Oryctolagus cuniculus: one gene and its partners. The main gene of each other region encodes a partner of the protein of the gene in region 3 in a complex. Links are inferred from orthologs where the notes say so. Each region holds a gene or a part of one and is shown on either strand. Other genes may lie near its edges. The genes, in order: PRKAB1, PRKAB2 and PRKAA2.

The links.
Region 1: the proteins of PRKAA2 (region 3) and PRKAB1 are in contact, whole or in part, in a crystal structure (PDB 8BIK), measured with the Homo sapiens proteins. The link is inferred for Oryctolagus cuniculus from reciprocal best matches to the Homo sapiens genes PRKAA2 and PRKAB1. Residues at the interface, in NP_006243.2 of Homo sapiens: Gly9, Val11, Lys12, Ile13, Thr21, Lys29, Lys31, Asn48, Arg49, Arg53, Asp56, Val58, Ile61, Lys62, Ile65, Gln66, Lys69, Val82, Ile83, Ser84, Thr85, Pro86, Thr87, Asp88, Phe89, Phe90, Met134, Met164, Ser165, Asp166; in NP_006244.2 of Homo sapiens: Pro79, Thr80, Val81, Arg83, Thr106, Ser108, Asn111, Val113, Ile115, Gln154, Val155, Asp159, Phe160, Glu161, Val162, Phe163, Ala165, Leu166, Asp169, Ser170, Lys172, Cys173, Pro186, Tyr187, His188, Gln189, Glu190, Pro191, Tyr192, Ala202.
Region 2: the proteins of PRKAA2 (region 3) and PRKAB2 are in contact, whole or in part, in a crystal structure (PDB 6B2E), measured with the Homo sapiens proteins. The link is inferred for Oryctolagus cuniculus from reciprocal best matches to the Homo sapiens genes PRKAA2 and PRKAB2. Residues at the interface, in NP_006243.2 of Homo sapiens: Gly9, Arg10, Val11, Lys12, Ile13, Thr21, Asn48, Arg49, Val58, Gln66, Gln81, Val82, Ile83, Ser84, Thr85, Pro86, Thr87, Asp88, Phe89, Met134, Met164, Ser165, Asp166, Gly167, Glu168, Phe169, Leu189, Ala191, Glu194, Pro253; in NP_005390.1 of Homo sapiens: Val60, Ser61, Gln64, Glu67, Asp68, Ser69, Thr73, Gln74, Ala76, Pro78, Thr79, Val80, Ile81, Arg82, Ile106, Ser108, Val113, Ile115, Val155, Ser158, Asp159, Phe160, Glu161, Phe163, Asp164, Lys167, Leu168, Gln191, Met193, Tyr194.

Annotation. Positions count from the first base shown.
Region 1 is NC_091452.1:15,724,080-15,728,429, forward strand, and holds the start of PRKAB1 (5'-AMP-activated protein kinase subunit beta-1), read left to right. Parts: upstream 1-1,517; 5' UTR 1,518-1,763; coding exon 1,764-1,922; intron 1,923-4,019; coding exon 4,020-4,183; intron 4,184-4,350. UniProt on the Homo sapiens protein: Non-catalytic subunit of AMP-activated protein kinase (AMPK), an energy sensor protein kinase that plays a key role in regulating cellular energy metabolism.
Region 2 is NC_091438.1:50,126,614-50,130,175, reverse strand, and holds part of PRKAB2 (5'-AMP-activated protein kinase subunit beta-2), read right to left. Parts: intron 3,399-3,562; coding exon 3,265-3,398; intron 2,622-3,264; coding exon 2,553-2,621; intron 260-2,552; coding exon 182-259; 3' UTR 1-181. UniProt on the Homo sapiens protein: Non-catalytic subunit of AMP-activated protein kinase (AMPK), an energy sensor protein kinase that plays a key role in regulating cellular energy metabolism.
Region 3 is NC_091438.1:116,460,534-116,464,095, forward strand, and holds part of PRKAA2 (5'-AMP-activated protein kinase catalytic subunit alpha-2), read right to left. Parts: coding exon 3,473-3,562; intron 3,003-3,472; coding exon 2,764-3,002; 3' UTR 1-2,763. UniProt on the Homo sapiens protein: Catalytic subunit of AMP-activated protein kinase (AMPK), an energy sensor protein kinase that plays a key role in regulating cellular energy metabolism.

The DNA of each region.
Region 1 (4,350 bases), on a different chromosome or scaffold from region 3:
GGAGCCTGTAAGATGAGGGTTATTTTTATTCCTCATACTGCAAAAGAGGCCTAGGTGACAGTAAGTATAAAGCCACATGTTTAACCCAAGAGGTTGGCATCAGAGCCCATGTCCCTAACTCCTGTTCTGTCTCAGACCCTCTCCCCAGGTAACCCCTTTCCATCCCTTTCCTTTTTAAAACATGGTGCAGTATTCTACAAAATGACTGTTTAATCCACTTAGCCATTTCCCCACTAACAAACGTTCCAGATTGGTCAGGCTGTCATTTCGTTATTTCTTCGTATCTAAGATGGCACCAATTCTAAGAAATATCCAATTTCAAGAGATTAGAATGTAAAAAAATTAATAATGTTTAATGTAAAAAAAAAATAATGTGCCTCTTACACTTACTATGCTCTCAGAGCTGGTGTGGCCAATGAACCGGCTCAGCTATAGTTCCTTGTGTGATATTTCTGTAGATGGGTTCCCAGCGGTAAAATCGGAAAAACGAAGGTGCTTTTTTCTTTATTATTATTATTTTGAGAGAAGCTGCCCACTCTAGAAGACTTCGTCTTGATCATCTGTGTTTCCCATTTCCTTGCCACAACATCGGGACTTTGTAGGTACTAAACAGATGTTCAGTGAACAAAACGCACAACCAGGTCCGGTGAGGTATTGTGTGAAATATACAAAAAACAAAAATAAGGCAATGAGATTAGAATATTGAAGGGTCATACGTGCATACTCTTTGCTGACCCACGTTCTGTAGTAAATGACAAATGCTAATCATGCCTTTGCAAAATTACTCATCAAAAACCTACGCACTGGGGCCGTCATTGTGGAGTAGAGGATAAAGACGCTGCCTGCAATACTGGCATCCCATGCGGGCACCGGTTCTCGTCTGGGCTGCTCCACTTCCCACCCAGCTCCCTACTAATGGCCTGGGAAAAGCAGCAGAGGATGGCCCAAGTCCTTGGGCCCCTCCACCCACGTGGGTGACTGGGATGACGCCCCTGGCTCCTGGCTTTGGCCTGGCCCAGCCCTGGCCATTGTGGCCACCTGAGGAGTGACCAACGGATGGCAGATCTCTTTCTCTGCCCCCCCCCATCTGACTTTCAAATAAATAAATAAATCTGTAAAAGCCTACGCACTGAATTTAATAAAAGTTCTCTTTTGTAGCCCTCGAGCTACTAGAAGGAAGAAACTTCTAGCAAAATGAGTCTAATGCATCCTAAAGCGTTAACAGCCACGGCACCAAGGGGCTTTAAGCAAAGGGCGGTTTCTTAATCAGACTTTTGCACCTTTAGCCGTACAGGGTGGCACCAGAGAAGGCGGCCTAGTACATCCATTGGCATCGCTCTCTCCAGCGCAGGTAGAGTGGCCCAGGCCGCCGGTGCACTGGTGCGCCCCCTGCCGGCCCTCCACGGCCTCACGCTGGGTCGGGCCCCCCGTGCGGCCGACTGCGACTGCGCGGCTCTGAAGCCCACGGAAGCCAGCCATCGCCGGAAGCGGAAGTGACGACGAGTTAGCCCCGGGCTGCGCCCGCCACAGCCTCCCCCGTTGTGGGGCGGAGTCGCCGGAAGCGGAAGTGGCTGAGGGGTTGGGGGAGTTGTCAGGATAGTGCCGGCTAATCTTCCCGCTTGTAAGGTCCGGGCGCAGGGGAGGCGCGACTGCGAAACCTCGCGCAGCCTGGCGATCCCGCTCCAGGCACCTCCCGACCCTTCCCCGGACTCGTGGGGAGTGCCACCCGGCTCGGCTTCCCCGTGGCCCCGCAGACCCCCGCCATGGGCAACACGAGCAGTGAGCGCGCCGCGCTGGAGCGGCACGGCGGCCACAAGACGCCCCGCAGGGACAGCTCGGGGGGCGCCAAGGACGGGGACAGGCCCAAGATCCTGATGGACGGCCCCGAGGACGCCGACCTCTTCCACTCGGAGGAGATCAAGGTGCGCGGCTCGGGGGGCGCGGGCAGGGGGGCGCGGCCCCGAGGGAGGGGGCCGCTCCCTTGGCGCTGCACCGCAGGCCGCTCGGGGGACAGTTTCCAGCTCCTAATTAATTCAGGGCGTCGCGCCGGCGGGAAGTGAGCCCCGGCCGGCCGCGTTTCTCCCAGGTGTAATTAGTCTCACGGCTTCGGGAAGTCCTGCGTGCCCCGCAGGCAGCCCGGCCCGTCGTAGGAGTGGGTCTGGGGGCTGTGCGGTCCGCTTTGGGGAGGTGGGGGGGGGGCGTGGATCAGGGCACACGTGGAAGCAGAAGGAAGAACGGCCGGGCGCAGGCCCCGGCGGCGTCCGGCGGTGGAACGCGGGCTCTGGGAGGTGGCGGTGGGTGGGCGCCCTTGTGTTGTGTCTGGGATTCAGTATTGGAAGCGGGCCAAAGCACACCTCTTGGCAGGCCGCATCGGATCCCCTGGGACGGTCTGCTTTGTGACGAGCCCAGCGGGTCCTCCTCTCCCACCAAAGCCATGATCCTGTCCATCGCCTGAGAACTCATTCCTTAAAGGGACGGAGTAGAGAGGATGAAGGGGACCCTGTTAGTATGCACCTGCACACGATTGACTCACTTTTTCCCTCCATTGTTGGGCTGGGTGCTGACACCGTCTCACACCCTCAGATCTTAGTTGGGGGTCTGACTAGGAAGATCTGCTGTTACCTGGCCCTCCATCCTGTGCTTGGACCTTGTTTCCTGAACTTGTTGCATTTCCAGAAAGCTGCCTGCAACCTGAACTTTGGAACCGTGTTGACTTAACGTCCCTTCCCCCAGAAGTACACGGGACCCCAGCAAGGCTATTGAAGACACCATAGCTTTGTGCCAGAAGTGCTGGTGTTGCGGTCCACCTGTGTAGCAGATCTGGGGAGCATACATTGTAACTGCCTGGAATCATGCAGCAGATTTAACCACACCTGTTCACCGTGGGGGCTGTGGGCGTCACATCCTCCCTGCACTGTGGTTCTGGTCTGGCATTCTTTAACCCACAGGTCTTGTTAGAATTCCGTAGACACATGCATCTTGCAGATAAGCTCAGGCGCCAAAGGCCTGCTGGACGCCCCAAAAGCCTGTCCCCTCCTCCAGCTACTGCCCTTTGAAAAGGTCTTGGCGTCTGGCCAGGAAACTTTGTTTAAACATCCTTTATTTATTTCTCCCAGAGCTGGATGTGTTTATGTCTCTCTTAGGCCAGAACACTTCAGTTACACAACACTTACACTGGACGTTACACTTCATCGTAATGTCTTATTTAGTATCTCTTCTCACCAGCACCAGGACAATGTTCCTGCCAGTGAATAGTCTTTCCCTTCCTCAAAGTCTGGATCTGCCGATTTTCAAACTGACCGGTTCTGGAATGATCCCTCACTTATGTTCACATAGTTCCAGTCTTGTTTAACGAAGGGAGGAAAATGACGTTTATTAAGCAGTTTTCCAAGCATATCTGATACTTTCCCCTGGAGTTCTAATGCAGAGCTCCTTTTTAAAAAAGAAAAGTTCTTTATCTGAAAGGCTGAGAGAGAGCTTCCGTCCTCTGGTTTATTCCCAAATGGCTGCAACGGCCTGATTTGGGCCAGGCCCAAGCCAGGAGCCAGAAGCTCCATCCAGGTCTGCCAGATGGGTGGCAGGGGCCCGAGTACTTGGGCCACCCTCTGCCGCCTTGCCCGGCGCATTAGCAGGGAGCTGGACTAGAGGCAGAGCAGTGGGCCTGTGGAGTGGAGCCAGTGCTCAGGTACGGGACGCCACATGGATCCACCGTGTCACGGGCAGCGGCTAACACGGTGCCCCACTGCGCCAGCCCCACAGGTGGCCTCTCTGCTAGTGAGGGACACAGTGCTGGGTAGGAGGCGCTTCCACACGTCCTGTCGGTCACTCGGCAGGACATTTCCACGTGGACTGTCCGCCTCAGTCTTCCCAACAACCTTAGGAATGTTTTCATCTCCGTGGTGCTGGTGGGGAAACTGAGGCACAGCCAGCCGACTACAGGGTCATGGCAGCGCCTCTTCAGGCTGCACTGGCCGGGAGCTCATTGACCTCCTATCCCGCGACACCCGCTCTGCTTCCAGGCCCCCGAGAAGGAGGAGTTCCTGGCCTGGCAGCACGATCTGGAGGTGAACGACAAAGCCCCCGCCCAGGCCCGGCCGACGGTGTTCCGGTGGACGGGAGGCGGGAAGGAAGTGTACCTCTCTGGGTCCTTCAACAACTGGAGCAAGCTGCCCCTCACCAGAAGGTAACGCCGGGCGCTGCCTGCGTGTGCCGGGAGCCGAGACATGGCTGCAGGCGACCAGGAAAGGGCACGAGGAGGAGAAACCCTCCTCACGGCCTCACAGGGGTGACTCCCACAGCGCCTGTGCTGGAGGACCCGCCCGCTGGCGTCCCAGACATCACCTGGCGGGG
Region 2 (3,562 bases), about 66 Mb from region 3:
TGAACTCATACAGCTCTCATCCGCGATCGAATGCCAAAGCAGAGCATCCTACTCAGAGGCTCTGAAACACACACATCGGCCTCAAAGCAAATCAGCCTCCCAGTCTCACATGAGACCGGTGCAGTCCAGAAAGGCAAAAAAGATACTTTTCCTGAATCCTCGGAGGCAGAGGAGGCTGCTTTCAGATGGGCTTGTACAGCAGAGTGGTGACATACTTCTTCTTGTAGCGATGCGTTGCACTAAGAACCATGACGCTGTCCTGCAAGAGAAAGAACGCTAAGTCATGAGTTATATGGTGGGCAGCTCTCCCCAGCCATCAGTCCTTCACAGTCGCTCACTTTCGGCGGAGATAACTTACTATAAAAGAAAGAGGTTGGTCTTGGAGCCAAATCAGCTTCAGCCTCATTCTTGACTCCTACCGTCATTGTACTGGTAGTGTAGCCTTGAGTAAACTACCTAGCGTCTCTAAGTCTCTAAGTCTCAGGTACGTAGCACCTACCACTCAGGCAGCTCTCATGATTACATGAGATTATCTGATACACTTAAGGTGCTGAAGAAATATCACTCGATTTCACTCCCTTCCTTGCCACAAATTTGAATATTGGCCTTAAAACTACCAAAGAAGAAAAGGAACAACTTTTTGCATCCATTTCTAGGAGGAGGAGGACTTCGATTCAATGAGAAGAAAGGGAAATGATCCTTCTGAAAGCCACTCTCGCTCCCCAGCGCAGGTCTCATTTACATTTACTGTCAAGGATGAACTCAAAAAGTGCTCCTTGATCTAGAAGGAACTCAGGAATTACCACTTTCCTCAAAGACAGTGGATGCCCAAATCCTCCTCAGTCCAATCAAGTCAGTCCAATCAGCCGCAACAAGCTGAGTGGACTCTGGTCAGTCAGGGCCAGGCTGAACAGCAGTCACCAAGCACTACACCTGCATGAGAACCAGTCAGAAGCAAGCAGGAGGGCCCACCGCCCAGGCTGTGGGACAGACCTCACATACTGAGCACACCCTAGGAGGAGATGACAGACCTGTGGACATCAACTGACAGCCAAGGAGTGGTTGCAGCAGGTAAAATTCAATCAGGTCCCAAAGAATCCACGCAGATACGATGGCGAATCCAGTGTATCCTCCTACCTTCCCCTCTACTGTACTATCTACAGAATGTTTCGTAGGTTAACATTCTGGGACCAGAGTATGACACAGCCTAAACCTGACAGAAGCAAGGCAGGTGAAAAATGCAACTCCAGGAAAGGTTTTGCAGACATGAGGAACGAGTGAGAAGATCAGGAACAGTGATCTACAGGAAAGAACATGACCTCAGTCTGGTCTCTGGTACCTACTGGTAATGTGACTTTCAGAGCTTTAGTTTCTGTGTCTATAAAACAGGGGTTAAAAATACTATTTACCCCACAAGCTTATTATAAAAATTGAATTCAATAATATGTCTTTAATTTTACATGTATTATCACATAATTTGTTAAAGTCACTTGTATTGGTGACTCCCCTAATCTAGCTGCACATCTATGACATATAAGCAGCTTAAAAATGACAGGGGCCCACCCTGCACACACTTACTCAGCAGCTCTGGGGATGGAGCCCCTGAACCTGTAGCTTCACAGACTACCTTAGGTGATTCTGATGGTTGGCCAAATCTCAGGACCACAGAGCCAGTCCACAAGGGAGTGATACGACAGAAGAGACTGTCATTTTCAACCCAGACTCTGAAACAGCAGAGAAACCAAGAGGGACTCTGGAGACGGAGGGGACAGGGCAGATCTGGTCACATCTCCAGTGTATCAGGGGTGCAAGCCTTTGGAGATAGACAACTGGAAGCCTGATCATGCAAGCACTCTCCGAACTGGAAGCTAGGCCTGCTTTGCAGCAGATGAATTCTACTGCTACGAACTCAATGTTAAGTAAGTAGCTGATATAAAGGTTCTAGCCCCCCGGCAAAAGAAACCAGGAGGAAAAACGTCCATTCAATCACAGGGCAATTCAGCTAGCAAGAACACAGATATAAAGACTAAGATTTTAAAACAAGAAACAAAAACAAGAGAAAGAAAGAAAGCTCTTCTATAACTGGATCACCACTACCAGCTTCAGCTTCAAGGAAGCAGCAGAGCAGGCAGCTACTGGAAAACATGTGTTGCTCTCCCCCTCTCCTTTCCAGGTGCTCCATTAGGAGCCAGGGCCAGGAACCGGCGCTGTGGCGCAGTAGGTTCATCCTCCGCCTGCAGCACTGGCATCCTGCGTGGGCGTGAGTTCTAATCCCAGCTGTCCCATTTCTGATCCAGCTCTCTGCTAGGGCCTGGGATAGTACTAGAAGATCGCCCAAGGCCTTGGGTCTCTGCTCCTGCATGGGAGGCCCGGAAGAAGCTCCTGGCTCCTAGCTTTGGATTGGCCCAGCTCCAGCCATTTCGGTCATTTAGGGAGTGAACCAGCAGAAGGAAGACCTCTCTCCCTGTCTCAACTTCTCTCTGTAACTCTAACTCTCAAATAAAATCTTTGGAAAAAAAAAAAAAAAAAAAAGAGCCAGGGCCACTACTTACCTTAATGGACAATGCATAGAGGTGGTTCAGCATAACGTGGTTGGGCTCAGGGAGCAAAGCTGGGTCACACTAAGACAGAAAAACATCACTACGTGGAGTTAAATGCAGACAACCCAAACACCTCACTCGTCCTCTGTTCCTCTGATTCTTCTATCCCTGTATTCTTCCCTGGAACCGCTGAGAACTCTAAGCTAGAACACACTATCTCCTTTAAATAATAACACACCCCAGAACGTATCAGTAATACATTGCCATTAAGGAAAATTCCCAGTCCCAGGTAGAAATTTTAGACCTCAACATCTACTAATCTTCCTTAATAGAGCTAAAACAAAAATCTTGTTCACAACACATATGGCAAATTTATGTTGACATGCAAAAATAACCTTAGTGGAAACCAGGTACACTGAATAATGATGTAAAGTATATGCAAAAAATTGATAAGTACTTTTTATCTTGTGTTGGAACAGAAGTCCTGAAATTCTAGCAACACATAACTCTCTAGTCCTGATTTTGCTAGGACCAGCAAACAATGATTCACTTTTATACCAGGACATGAAAAAGTCAGAATTGAGCCTACAACACTATTGAGATACACATGATTTATAACCTCAATACCCCTTTGTAACAATCCTAACTTCTAGGGTTAATAACTTTTGACCCAAATGGTCCTAGAGACCCCCACATGCTCCAGCAATGCTCTCTGGATACTCACAGAAATATTAGTGTCCTTGTTAAGAATAACTTGGAGAAGGTGAGGAGGAAGTATGGGTGGCGATTTGAATCTCTCTTCAGATCGAAACACATACATTTCTTGACCATAAGGCCCTGGGGGTGAGCTGGAAAGGTCTGAAACATATTTATATAAATATGAGAGGAGGACAGAGGATTTGTAACAATGCATGGGAAAAAAAGCCATCAATGCATGGTAGCTAATATTAAAAATTCAGTAACAGTCACGGATCATGAGTTTGTGACCTGTTGAGTCTGCAACTGTAAGGCAGCCAAAGGGA
Region 3 (3,562 bases):
GTCATCCTCAAGGGAGGAGAGCAGCATGTAATATTTTCCAAGCTTACTCCATCATGAACTCTTTTCCTCAGCAGAGTATCTCACAGGATGCACTATGAGGCATGCTGTTCTAGAACCACATGGAGTCTATTCCCATGACACATCTAAAGCTTTATCTATAGCCCAATAACAGAAGCTCTCCTGAAGTGTCTTGATTGCAGGACATTGTGCTTGGCTCAGACCTATCTATCATCCACAGTTCAGCAATATCTAAGACTGATATGTAGGAATTTTAGATTAGAAATTGATTCTTTCCCTTCTTGTGCTCACAGGTAACAAAGAGTCTACTATTGAGCTAGACAGGGTCTCCTAATGTCTCCTCTCTACAAACTATTTCACTAAACCATCTAGAGTCACAGAATATCTGTTTTAAAAAAATTTACAAATGGAATAAACAAAACTGCACCCTTTGGGTCTCCTACAAGTCAACAAGCAATTATCAATCTGTGGATGTTCACAAATTCTGGTAAGAATGAGAAAAAAATTAATAAATTTTTAACTCTCAAAACATATGATAATCATCCATATAAATTTGATGTGAATAAGTTTCTATTATCTGGCTCATTAGAATAACAAAACTAAAATGCCACTGGATTATTTCTCATTGTTTCTCTGCCTTCAAAATTGTGGACTTTGCTACTGGGGAAAAGGAATCTGTTTAGTTCCTTATTTCTAAGATCTTTCCATTCATATTCAGGCAAAGACTGAATGGTTCTGTTTTTCTCAAAAGAGGCCTGTACACATTTGGAGAAGCCAAAATGATGCCATTTAGCAGACTGAATATCAAACTAATACAGGACTACTTACCCACCTAAAACAGTAAATGAAACAACAGCCTACTGGTGCCACAAGATGGCAATGTTTCAAAGGTTAAACTTCAGTACTATCTCAAACTCCAGACCATCCCGCTCCCCAGACTGGTGAACAAGGATCCCTTTTATTTTGACATTAACAAGCCCAACTTACAAGTTACTTAACAACATTTTTAAGAGACCTAAAAACAATGTGATACAATGCAAACTCAGAACTTAAAAAAACATTCCAAGACAGACATTCTTGTCTTTGATAAGCACGGGAGAAACGTTTTCTAACATCTGCTTCTTGGTAGAAAATATCCTATTTTTGGCAAAGAGAAATTTGTCAAGGCAATGTCATCACTTTGTTTTGTTTCGTTTTCAAGAGCTTAATATTTTTTAGAGTAAGTCATGTGAATGAGATTGTTAATTATAACATATTAAATACAATAAATGAATAAATACAATTTAGATAAATTACACATAATTTAAAAATTAAATATTTTTAAAACAAAATATAATAAATGAGTTATTATCTACCCTGATATATAGTTTTCTTTTTTAATCTTAAAAATAACCTGCATGAAACAAAACAGCAAAAAATGTTTGGTTTTTCTGAAAAGCACTAGTATGTGAATACATATATGTATATATGTAAACAACACATACATTTATTCAAGAGAGAACTTTTCTCAATGTTTAAGGCTTCTCTGCCATATCAGGTTCAACAGTGAAGGTCATGGCCTCTCAAGTTTTGGGAGTACATAAAAGCCCTTGGGGCCAGAATGGTGTTTTCAAACTGAATGGCCAGCAACCAAGAAAGGTAGTGGGAAAGACTCAAAAGCTAAGTTAATGGACCACTGAGGATCAAACAATGAGCAAAGACAATGGTGATTAGTTGGGTTAAGGAGGTGACAGCGATTAGAAACTTAAACTTTAAATGAAGAATTTGCAATGTGAAATGCAAGAAGACCTTCACCTCCTTAACTCCCCCTAATCCCCATCTCATACATACAAAATAAAGGATCAAAAATAAGAGTTCACTTTTAAGGGATCATTGATACGTTGCTTTGTTTCATTTAACTGTCTACTATTGTATTATTCTTTGTTAAGTGCAAAAACATAAAACAAGCCAAAACAAATTTGAGAAAAGTAGGTTTTGAAGGCGTATTTTAAAAGGACATGTTTATAGAAAAGATAAAAATTGTTGCAATTCCAGATGATTTGTTCCAATACCAAATCGAACCCTGAAAGCTCTTAGGCTAAAACCTATTATTTAGGGAAATCTCAAGATAAAGTCCTGAGGTTTCTATAACTGTTTATAAGGTACCTGGAAATCGTGGTTACCTATTACAGGACCACAGCCCTTCTGGTGAGCACTAGGCAATATTTGCAAAAACTTGGCTTCTGAAATTTGGGAGGGCAAGTTTTTAAGAATTCACCATTTATATAATATCTAACTAGTGGTTGTGTTTTAAATCTTGTTCAAGAAAACTGGGGTTGTATAAACACTGCTTAAAGCCTACTGAAATTTAGGAAGCAAATGTGACTGACCTACAATAAAGAGTGAAGCAGGGAGGTATTGACAAACCCCTCTCATGTTGAGAGGGTTCCTCAGTGAGTTGAGTAAATCACCTGAAGTGAACCCACACCTGTGAATTAACAATCTTCATTGATGTCCAATAGTTAAAGACACTGCCTATGTGATTTTATCACAGGCACGTTAGAATTACAGAGTTCTACAGGTAAATAAAATGTCAGACATTTTTGTTTTCAATAATTTCAATGGCATCGAGTGTCCCCTGGAAATATTCATGTCTCTTAATTAGTATTGCAGATATGTGACATCCAGAAGTAAGATAATAATTTAAAGAATATATCTCATCTTTCACAGTGCAGTAACAGAAAGATAGAAACCAGGGACAGATCATCAACGTGCTAAAGTAGTGATCAGACTGGCACACATTTCAAAAAAATCCATGGTGTGACTGCCCAGGCGAGGTGAAACTGAAGACAATGTGCTTCCTGTCAAAGAGCCAGTGAGAGAGCCAGAAAGCGAATGACTCTCTGCAGTGGTAGAATCAAAACTTGATCTTGGCCTGTGTAAGCCAGCCGCAGAGCAGGAGCGCTGAGGTGTTGAGGAACCAGACCTCTGTTCCACTACCTCATCTGGAAAGGACAAAAGAACAATTCATACATAAATTCTATTTGCCCAAGTCCTCTACGAAATTGCTATATTCAGGAGATTATATAAACATATTGGAACAAAGGCAGCTTAGTAATAAATGTCATGTTCAGTGTTTCAGGAGCAGAGGTGGTAATAGCTCTTTCCTCCTAATCCATCACTAATCAATCACAACACTTCCACATGGTCAAAATATGATCCCTAAATCCTTCTCGACAAAATATGTGGTATTAATATTGAAATCAAACTGATAGCCCCACATTTGAAGAAAACATATCATTGACAACTTAATATCTTCCATTATATCAAAAAATAATTTCACTTAATATTTTGTCTAGATTACTTAAAAACCCGTCAATATTTACCCACCATGTCTTTGAGATGATTTTAAAATCTGATCAACTAGTGCCAAGTTTTACTTTCTTAAGAGTTTATACCTGCACAGCTTCCTTACCATCAATGCTTTTAAAGTCCAAAAGATAGCTTCTATTATCAACCAGGTAAAGTTGCAAGCTCATTTTCACATAATTGCCAGTCACTGGAT